Linked DNA regions of Caenorhabditis elegans. The protein of the gene in region 1 purifies or fractionates together with the protein of each later gene. This does not show direct contact. Each region holds a gene or a part of one and is shown on either strand. Other genes may lie near its edges.

Region 1 (5,082 bases):
AGATTTATTTGCGTAAGGAAAAGATGCACGAAAAGCTGCTGAAGCAATTTGATCTCGAGCTTCATACCCGAGAAGGCAGAAAAATAGTATGGTGATATAGTTTATAGTTTGCAAATTGGTCATATCTAACAAATTACAACAACATGTTCAAACTTTAAATGCATGGCAATGCAGGAACGCATTCTGTGCGATCAACCTATAGATTAAAGATTATTGGGATGAGTAATAAAGAGTGTGATGGGTAAACGTAATCAAAGCGTTGAAATTGTTTAACTTTAGAATCTGAAAATGAAATTATACAAATATCTTCAATGCGGCTATACTCTGAAAAAACAAATATAAAAAAATGCCCAATTGTTGTTCTAGTTCGACTATCGATTAAACTGTAATTCAAATTTTATTTATTTAAAAAGATCCTTATTTTTGGAAACTTTCCAATTTAAATTTACGTTTACTTCAGATTTGTTAGATTTTCCTTGACCCCTGTTGATAGAATGCTATTAGAGCACTCAACGAGCTTGAATGATCTTCTGTCTTCTTCAGTGTAAACCACGCGGTATCACTTCAACAGTTGCTCTTCATTTTTCTAAGTTTCTTTTTCCGAAGACAAGTTTTGTAGAGACTTTTCGAAAATTAAAGAACCAGTCTGCAGGATTTTTAAAGTATGCCTTATCAATTATTAAATAAATCTCAATGTCTAGAACTTCAATTTCAAGGCCATTTTATGATCATTTCATTGAATTCATCCTCTCATTTTTTGGAACTTTTTGTTCGTTCTGTGATCTAGGTATCAATACAAGAAAATTATACATCCTTTTAGATATAACTAAAATCAAGACCGCCCACCAAAGTGCGTTGATTGATAGATTGATAAGAAGAACTGGGAAAAGGAAAAAGAGAATTCCCACTAATAACTGTAAAGTGATAAATGACGAGGTTGTCCTTGAAATTTGATATTTTAATCTATCGATAATATACCTTTGGAGGTTCAGGAATCAAGAGTTTATCATGAAGAAATTAGTATTTATTATGCAAAAACCATATCTTACCAAAAAAGTTATCTACGTGTTAATTTGCTTATTCACGAACTTTGCTAATTAATTACAGAGATAAAACAGTATGTATTATGCTCTTTTTTAAAGTGAAAAGTTTTATAAAATATTTAAATTAAACCGAGGTTAAAGTATGTAGAACAGTTTTTGATTTACAAAACTCAATTGCTAAACTGTATAGATGAAACAAGTTACTTTGATCATTCTAACTGCATCGATTGTAGACAATTTTGTGAAGGCTGAACTACCGTAACCGTTTTTGGATATCTTCAAACGCTGAGACTTGGATCTAATAACAAACCTTTCCGCAGGTCCAAAGACGACTGCCTCACCTCCTAACTAAATCTGATTTTCGGTTGTTTTTTGGTTTTAGGGCAATGTGCTGGTTGTAAACTATATGGCACCATTTCTTTATTTTTACAACTTGGAACCTTTACATCTGCTGTCCAGCAGAAGGCCGGGGAGGTGGGCTCACGGGAAGAAGAGCTATGAAAAGACAACTGGTGTTGATGCATACACACCTCTGATGAGATACTTTCTCTCTTTTATTTTGTATATTGTTGTTGTTATTCTGTTCAATCAAAATTGAGAATATCTTGAAGAATATCTTGATTGAAAGCTCATTTTGTTGGATTAGCATTTTTATTAGTAAAATTAAAGTATATGAAACAATATGTATCCCGCAATAGCAATTTTATTCCTCAAAATGTTTCTGTAAAATATCACGCCTTCTTCCTAGTTTCCCACTGATCCGTTGTCTTGATCTCCGCCCACTCCCTATTCCACCGTCGCTTTTTGATATCCATTTATCGGTATAAATAAAACATTTTAGTTGATTCAAATTTAATTTTAATCAAATTTTTTCTGTAGAAATGTCACTTCTAATCAAAAATGGAACCATTGTCAATGATGATGCTATCTTCAAATCCGATGTTCTGGTCCTTGATGGAAGGATTGTGTGAGTCCAACTTTGAATCATGCATCTTAATGGAAAATTTGAATTTCAGGGAAATCGCTCCATCCATCCAACCAACTCCTGGTCTTGAAGTAGTTGATGCAACGGATCGTCTTGTTATTCCAGGTGGCATTGACCCACATACACATATGCAGCTACCATTCATGGGAGAAATTGCAAAGGATGATTTTCATAGGGGAACGGAAGCTGCTGTTGCTGGTGGTACAACTATGGTATTTGAAATTAAGAAATAAAAGTTTCCAACTTTTGGTTACAGATTATTGACTTTGTAATTCCAACAAAAGGCGAATCCCTCCTTGTTGCTTACGATCGTTGGAGAGGGTGGGCTGATCCAAAAGTCGTTTGTGACTATGGATTGTCGATGGCAATTACCAGTTGGGGGCCTGAAATTGCCAAAGAAATGGAAATTGTTACTGGAGCTGAATATGGTATACCAAGTTCTAGTTTTAGTAGTCCTAGTCTATATCAACTTTTAGGAATCAATTCCTTCAAGTTTTTCCTCGCGTACGCAGGTGTCTTTATGGTTCGTGACGAAGAATTCTATCAAGGAATGATTCAATGCGCAAAGTTACGTGCATTGGCTCGTGTTCATGCTGAAAACGGATCCGTCATTGCGGAACGATGTGAGCATCTTCTTTCTTCTGGTATTACTGGACCAGAAGGACACACTCAATCTCGCCCAGAAGAATTGGAAGCTGAAGCTACTTTCCGTGCCTGTACTATGGCTTCTCAGGTATTTCGGATTGTGAGATTTAAAATATTCAATGAGAAAATTTCAGGCAAACTGTCCATTGTACGTAGTTCACGTAATGTCAAAAGGAGCAGCTGCTGCAATTGCTCATCACAGAAAGAAGGGAGCTGTTGTGTTTGGAGAACCAATTGCTGCAGGACTAGCCACTGATGGAAGTCACTATTATAATGAAGATTGGCTTCATGCTGCTCGTTATGTCATGTCTCCTCCACTTTCTCGTGATCCATCAACACCTAGTGCATTGATGAAATTGTTGGCTGCGTAAGTATAGAATTCTTGGAAGTGTATCAGTGCCGTGCGGCTCTCGGCGCGAGCCGAGAGCCGGCATTTTGGAGCTTTTTCGGCTCTTGGCCGGAGCCAAGAGCCGAAAAAAATTTCCGACTCGGCGCGCGCCGAGAGCCGACTTTTTTCAAGAGCCGCACAGCACTGAAGTGTATATTTACTACCTCCAAATTAGCCAAAAATGCGATTTACACCAAAAAGGAAAACGTTTTTATCAAAAAAATTCAACTCAAAATAGCCTTTAAAAAACCGTAAATTGGGCGGCACATACTCTAGAACTTGATGGGTAAAAAACTTACGGAAGAAACAGCGCGGATTTTCCGCAGGCACAGATTCAGAGTAAGTCCAGCCCAACTGTCAGATTGCTCGGAATTTTTAATTATATTATTGTAATTTCACGATATTTTGACTTGCCCTTCCAAAGACACACGAATGTATTACGATGGGTCTAGGTGCGCAAAAAAGTTTGTGGTAGTCTTTTATTGTCCATTTTCTACAAAATTCGCTAAAACTAAAATCGTTTTTAGCTAAAAATGAAGTAATCCCGTGTACCTTCAAAGAAGAGGTCGAAATCTCGTGAAATTACGATAACTCAAACTTTCCTAGCATATTCGGTGGAAATTAGAATAAAATTTTCAAAAGAGACAGTTCACCTTTAAATTTTCAATTAAAACCCCCAACATTTTGAGACTAAACAATTTTCAGTGGAGAATTGCATCTCACTGCCACCGATAATTGTACATTTGATTGTCAACAAAAGTCTCTTGGTAAAGATGATTTCACAAAAATTCCGAATGGAGTAAACGGAGTTGAAGACAGAATGTCAGTTGTTTGGGATAAAGGAGTTCATGCTGGAATCATTGATCCTATGAGATTTGTGGCAGTCACTTCTACAATGGCTGCTAAGATCTTCAATTGTTACCCACAGAAGGGAAGAATCGCAGTTGGCTCCGACGCGGATATTGTGATTTGGAATGCGAATGCAACTAGAACTATTTCAAAAGATACACATCATCATGTGAGTTTTAGGTTTTAGTAAATTCAATTTTAATGCAAAAAATTCAAGGCGATTGACTTCAATATTTTCGAAGGAATGCAAGTACACGGAGTTCCAGAAATCACAATTTCCCGAGGACGTACTGTTTGGGCAAATGGTCAACTGAAAACTGTTCAAGGTTCAGGACAATTCATTCCTTTGGCTCCAGACTCTCAAATCGTCTTCTCAGCTGTTGACAATCGTAAGAAGGCTATGGAACCTGTGAAAATAGACCGAATTCCATATGAGCCATCGGCACTGCAGACACCTGATGCCAATGCGAACATCGTTGTGAAAGCTCCAGTCAGGGCAGCAATTCCTCCAGGAGGAGCTAGCAGCATTCAGTTTTAAATCTACTTGTAAATAATTGTTTTTTTTTTATTTTTAAAAATTCAATAAAAAAATCACTTCCAAAAAGTAACAATGCATCAAAAATTGAAATTATAACAAAAACATAACAAATCAAGCAACAATGATATTCAGATTAATTTTTCTTTCCTGCTTTTCTTTTCAGGCCGCCGACCATTCTCTTCTTTCCGACTCCTTTAGCTTTCAAAAGTGGGCGCCCTTTCTTCACTTTAGGAACTGCTGTTTTCTTTCCATTTCCTTTTTTAACTTCAGCGATTTCGTCATCTGGAACATCATCTCCGTTCTCCTGCCGTGCAGCTTCGGCAGCCTCACGAGCTCGCTTTTTGATTTGGCTTTAAAAAATTTTTATTTTTAAAGTTTTTACATTTCACGATAAATCTAACAATAAATTCGTCAGCTTAATACGCCTATAAGTGTACCTTTTAACTTTTCTGGACGACTTTCTCTCTTGCTTGAAGCTGTTGGCCAACACAATGGCCTTCTTCTCGGCTTCTTCATAATCATGTCTTGTCAACCTCTCCTTTGGAACTGGGGTCTCGAAATGTAATGGATCTTGTCCACGAGAACTCTTATCGAACTTCTTAACAAGATCATAGATCTTCTTTCTTCTCTTAGC
Region 2 (4,350 bases), 2.0 Mb from region 1:
CATTCCAAAATTTCTCTGTAACTGCAAAAATTCAAAAAAATCTCCAATTCTAAATATTTCCCTCAAACATTTGCGTACACTTCGAACCGAAATGGGGGATTCCCTCCAAACTGTCTTTATCATCTTTTATCATTTCTTCTTTTTGTCCAATCAGATTAGCTTCGTTCAAACGATCACCCAATTTAATCTTTCAACATTTCTTTTCATTCTCTCCAGGAATTGCATCAGTTTGACGACGAAGGTTTTGCCGGAAAAGATCAACTGATATGGAAACGGCCAAGCATCAACTTCGTTTAGACAATTCGAAAATTTTGCAACAATTGTGGAGGTGATTCCCAAATTTGAAGCTGATAGTGGCACACAATGTGAAAGTGATATGTTATCGAAAATTCTAAATTATAGTAAATAGAAAGACACAAGTCTGATAAAGTTTTTAATGCTCCCTGAAATTTCTTTTCCAATGATCATTGGAAAATTGCAATGACCATGTAGAAGTGTTTAAGGAAATAAACTTTTTATTATTTTTGAGATTTTTTTTTGAAGAATGGTCTCCGTCTCGAAACCGTCCCGAACCAACAAACAACGAAAAAATTATGTGTGGGGATGAAAAGGGGTGGGGAACCAATAAAATATTTAATTATACTAAAGTGAGAACGAACCAGGCAGAAAAGATCAGAGCTAGACTTTAGTTAACCTAGATAGTTTCGAAACAGAAAACTATGGAAAAGGCACTAAAGGGTTACACGAAGCTATTTAAACCTGGCTTGGAGCCATTTGATGTCATAAAAGAGGATACAAGAGCCATGAGATGAGTGAGAAGTGGGTACTTATGTGAAGGTGAATCCAGCGGTTCTGTAGGTGTTGTAGACCTTCTCGATGGAGTTGGCATAGGCAGCAGTACGGATATCAAGTCCAAGGTTGTACTTGTGAGCGGTGCGGATGATGGCTTCTCCGGAGCGTTGCATTGTGTACTCGAGTCCAGAGTGAACGATGTCTTTCTCGGAAGCTCCAGCGATCTTGGCAGCGAAAGCAGCATTTGGTTCAACTGGGCAATCCTTTCCGACGGCCTTGGAGAGAGATTCTTGGACCGAGGCTGAAAATTCAAACATTTTTAAACAGAAAGAATTGATTTACAATTTGTTTCCTAGAGTGCATACGTACTCATTTTCACGACAACGGTTGAGTGGCCTCCTCTCCCTCCTCATAAAATAAACGGAAAAGTGTGACAAGCGTAAGAGTATCTAGCCCTTGTTAGTTTCTAAACAAAATTTTATCACAGATGAAAACTTGCAAATCGTTTCATTGTGTTACTCTACGCAAGTCTAGGAATTCAAATTTCGAAAATTTACTTACCCAAAAGCATCTTGTTGGCTTCCTCGTCATATTTGAATGTAAGACGTCCGTAGGAAACATGGTTAAGATTCTTCAACCACTCGAAGTAGGAAACAGTAACTCCACCAGAGTTGACGTACATGTCTGGGATGATGAGGCAATCTCCACGAGCAAGAAGAATTCTGTCAGCAGCTGGGGTAGTTGGTCCGTTGGCAGCCTCGGCGATGATCTTAGCTTGAATGCGGCTAGCATTTTCCTTGTGGATCGACTTTTCGCAAGCAGCTGGAACGAAGATATCGCACTTCTCGTACATAAGCTCAGTGAATGGGTCGAAGTTCTTGGCTCCTGGGAAGTTCTTGATAGTTCCATTGGCGTCCTTCCAATCTTCGAGCTCCTTTGGATGAATACCATCTGGGTTGTAGACGGCGCAATCGTACTCCTGGATTCCGATGACCTTTGATCCAGCACGGTGGAGGTATCTGTGGGTGTGAAGTCCGACGTTTCCGAATCCTTGGATGATAGCAGTCTTTCCAGCGAGTCCGGTGTCAAGACCGACCATCTTCATGTAATCAGCATCGTTGGTGAACACCTCGAGTCCCTTCCACACTCCACGTCCGGTGGCGGAAACACGTCCGTGAATTCCTCCACTGACAATTGGCTTTCCTGTGATACAAGCCGAAGCATCCTGCAAACAAAATTATTCACATGCTCACAAAAAATTTATACTCACTCTGTCCAAATGTCCAATGGTTTGGGCGTAGGTATCAGCGATCCATCCCATTTCACGCTCTCCGGTTCCCATATCTGGGGCTGGGACATCAACTCCGGGGCCGAGGAATCCCTTCTTTGCGAATTCGATAGCGATACGGCGGGTGATCTTCTCAATTTCATAATCAGTGTATTGCTTTGGATCAATCTTGACTCCTCCCTTAGCTCCTCCGAATGGAACATCGACAACAGCGCACTTGTAAGTCATAAGAGCAGACAAAGCTTTGACCTCATCTTCGCACACATCGAGGGAATAACGGATACCTCCCTTGGTTGGAGTTCTGTGCTCAGAATGCTGTGCGCGCCAGGCCTCAATAACCTCGAACTCTCCATTGTCACGACGGATTGGGAAGGTGATGTAAAGGACCTGAAGAAAATAAAATATGATAAATTAATGAGACTCAAAATTCTTACCTTGTTAACTGGCTTGATAGCTCCAAGAATTCCGGACACGAGATTCTTCTTATCCTTTTGGCTCAAAGAGTTGGACTTGAGCTCCTCGGCGAGTTTTGGAGCGATGACCTCGGCTCCCTTGTTGAAGTAAAAGTCGACCATCTTGTAGAAAGATGGGTTGACCTGCTCCTCCATTGGCTTCTGCTCGTCGAGCACCTGGGAGTGGGCATCGAGAGTAGCGGCCGAATAGCTTCGGACAGCGACCGAGCGGGCGCCTCTGGAAAGAGTGCTCAACATTACCTGAAAATAAAATATTTTGTAATTAAAATTTAAACAAATAAGAGATTTTACATAAGAAGCCAAAGTGCAAAAAGGAGGAAAAGATCCGGGCGGAATCGAAAAGTAAGGAAAATGCCAGGAGGTCTCGTCACGAAATCCATGCGCCTTTAATAATTTTCAGCGGCAGTTTGAAATTATTTAAGTTATAGCTCGTTTAAAAATATTTAAATCAAAAAAAATTGGCAGAGGCATCAAAACCTTTTTTCCTAAAAAAAATGTGGCACCGCCCGCGAGTAGGCAAACGCTTCTAGGCCACGAAAAGCTCGTCCTGGGGACGCGGGCGCCATAACTATTCAAAACTAGAGGAGCCCAACACAAAACTGTTTACAGGACAACGCGCAACCATCATCGGTGGGCGAGACCGATGAAACTGCAAGCAAAAGATAGCGTTTCATGGAGGAGGAGGAGGAGGTGACTGGCAAATAGATATTTAGAGAAAGAGAGAAATAGAGGCAACATTCGGGGGAAAAATAGAGAAAAGATGCTCCGCCTATTTGAAGAAGGAAAAAAGAAGAGTGGGACGAGTGTCATTGATCTTCGCCCATATTGTGTGGTGCTATTGCATAGGACATACGATCTGCATAGCAACAAAACAAAAGAAGCAGGGTCAATCGACGTCATCTGAGAAAGAATCGAGACAGTGTCTCGCTAAATTCGCGTCAAAAATCTCATTCAACGAATTTTGAATACCAGTTTTGTTTTTGTTTCTCTTTCGATTTGTTTTACTGATCGACATCTTTGATTCTTCGTAAATAATCTTCAGAATAAGACAACCGATTTTTAAATTTTATTTCTCCCCCAGAGATTTGACAGAAATTTTTGAAGAATGTGGCTTTTTCGGTGGTCGCTTCCATAACCAAACATAGAGCATAAAATATTTTTAAAATGGAAAAAAAATAATTAAAAAATCCGAGCACCAAGACGCGCTACCATAAACTTTTTCTCCCGACGAGACCCATTGGAATGAATTCATGCGCCTTTAAGAACAAATTCTACACTTTTGATTTTATTTTCATTATTTATTGAAAAAATTTCAAGAATGATAAAACGTGAGCTTGTTAGTTGTGATAAAAAAGAAAAACAGGTTAGTAATTTGAAACCGGATAAATCTAGACATAAGCATAAATCGAAAGTTATAACCGATTGTATGACTGGAAATAGTTTTCATGAAATGAATTGTCATAATATTGCTGATTATAAAAATCATAATGGACTGTGGGCGAAGTTTGAAAACTAGGAGATAATTGGTCTGTTTGTGGAAAAGTATGAACCATCTGATATTCTTCTGGAGACGATGGGTAGAGAGAGTCATAAATAGAAGATGGTATTGATTGTGGAGAATTGTATTGATATTGATAAAGGTACGATGGTGACGAAGGTGATGATTCAAGCAAACTCATGATTCCCTTTTCAGCATTTTTTAGTTCCTTCTCATCTAGAGATTCGACAGGAAGTTTTGCTGGACGTTTCGAACGCTGGCACTTTGTTCCACTGATTTCATACTTTCTTTTTCTTGAG

The links. Proteins that work in one complex are often made in the same cells at the same time.
Region 2: the proteins of dhp-2 (region 1) and gdh-1 fractionate together in Caenorhabditis elegans (co-fractionation; one large-scale study listed by BioGRID). This does not show direct contact.

Annotation. Positions count from the first base shown.
Region 1 is NC_003282.8:9,976,262-9,981,343, forward strand, and holds dhp-2 (Dihydropyrimidinase 2), read left to right. Parts: upstream 1-1,860; 5' UTR 1,861-1,924; coding exon 1,925-2,010; intron 2,011-2,059; coding exon 2,060-2,240; intron 2,241-2,284; coding exon 2,285-2,456; intron 2,457-2,504; coding exon 2,505-2,761; intron 2,762-2,807; coding exon 2,808-3,040; intron 3,041-3,766; coding exon 3,767-4,079; intron 4,080-4,127; coding exon 4,128-4,448; 3' UTR 4,449-4,514; downstream 4,515-5,082. Other genes in the region: C47E12.14 (Salivary lipocalin), read right to left, coding at 1-123; rrp-1 (Ribosomal RNA processing protein 1 homolog), read right to left, coding at 4,582-4,798, 4,886-5,082.
Region 2 is NC_003282.8:11,951,692-11,956,041, reverse strand, and holds gdh-1 (Glutamate dehydrogenase), read right to left. Parts: upstream 2,794-4,350; 5' UTR 2,791-2,793; coding exon 2,515-2,790; intron 2,468-2,514; coding exon 2,063-2,467; intron 2,018-2,062; coding exon 1,354-2,017; intron 1,094-1,353; coding exon 828-1,093; 3' UTR 501-827; downstream 1-500. Other genes in the region: tbx-36 (Putative T-box protein 36), read right to left, coding at 3,966-4,350.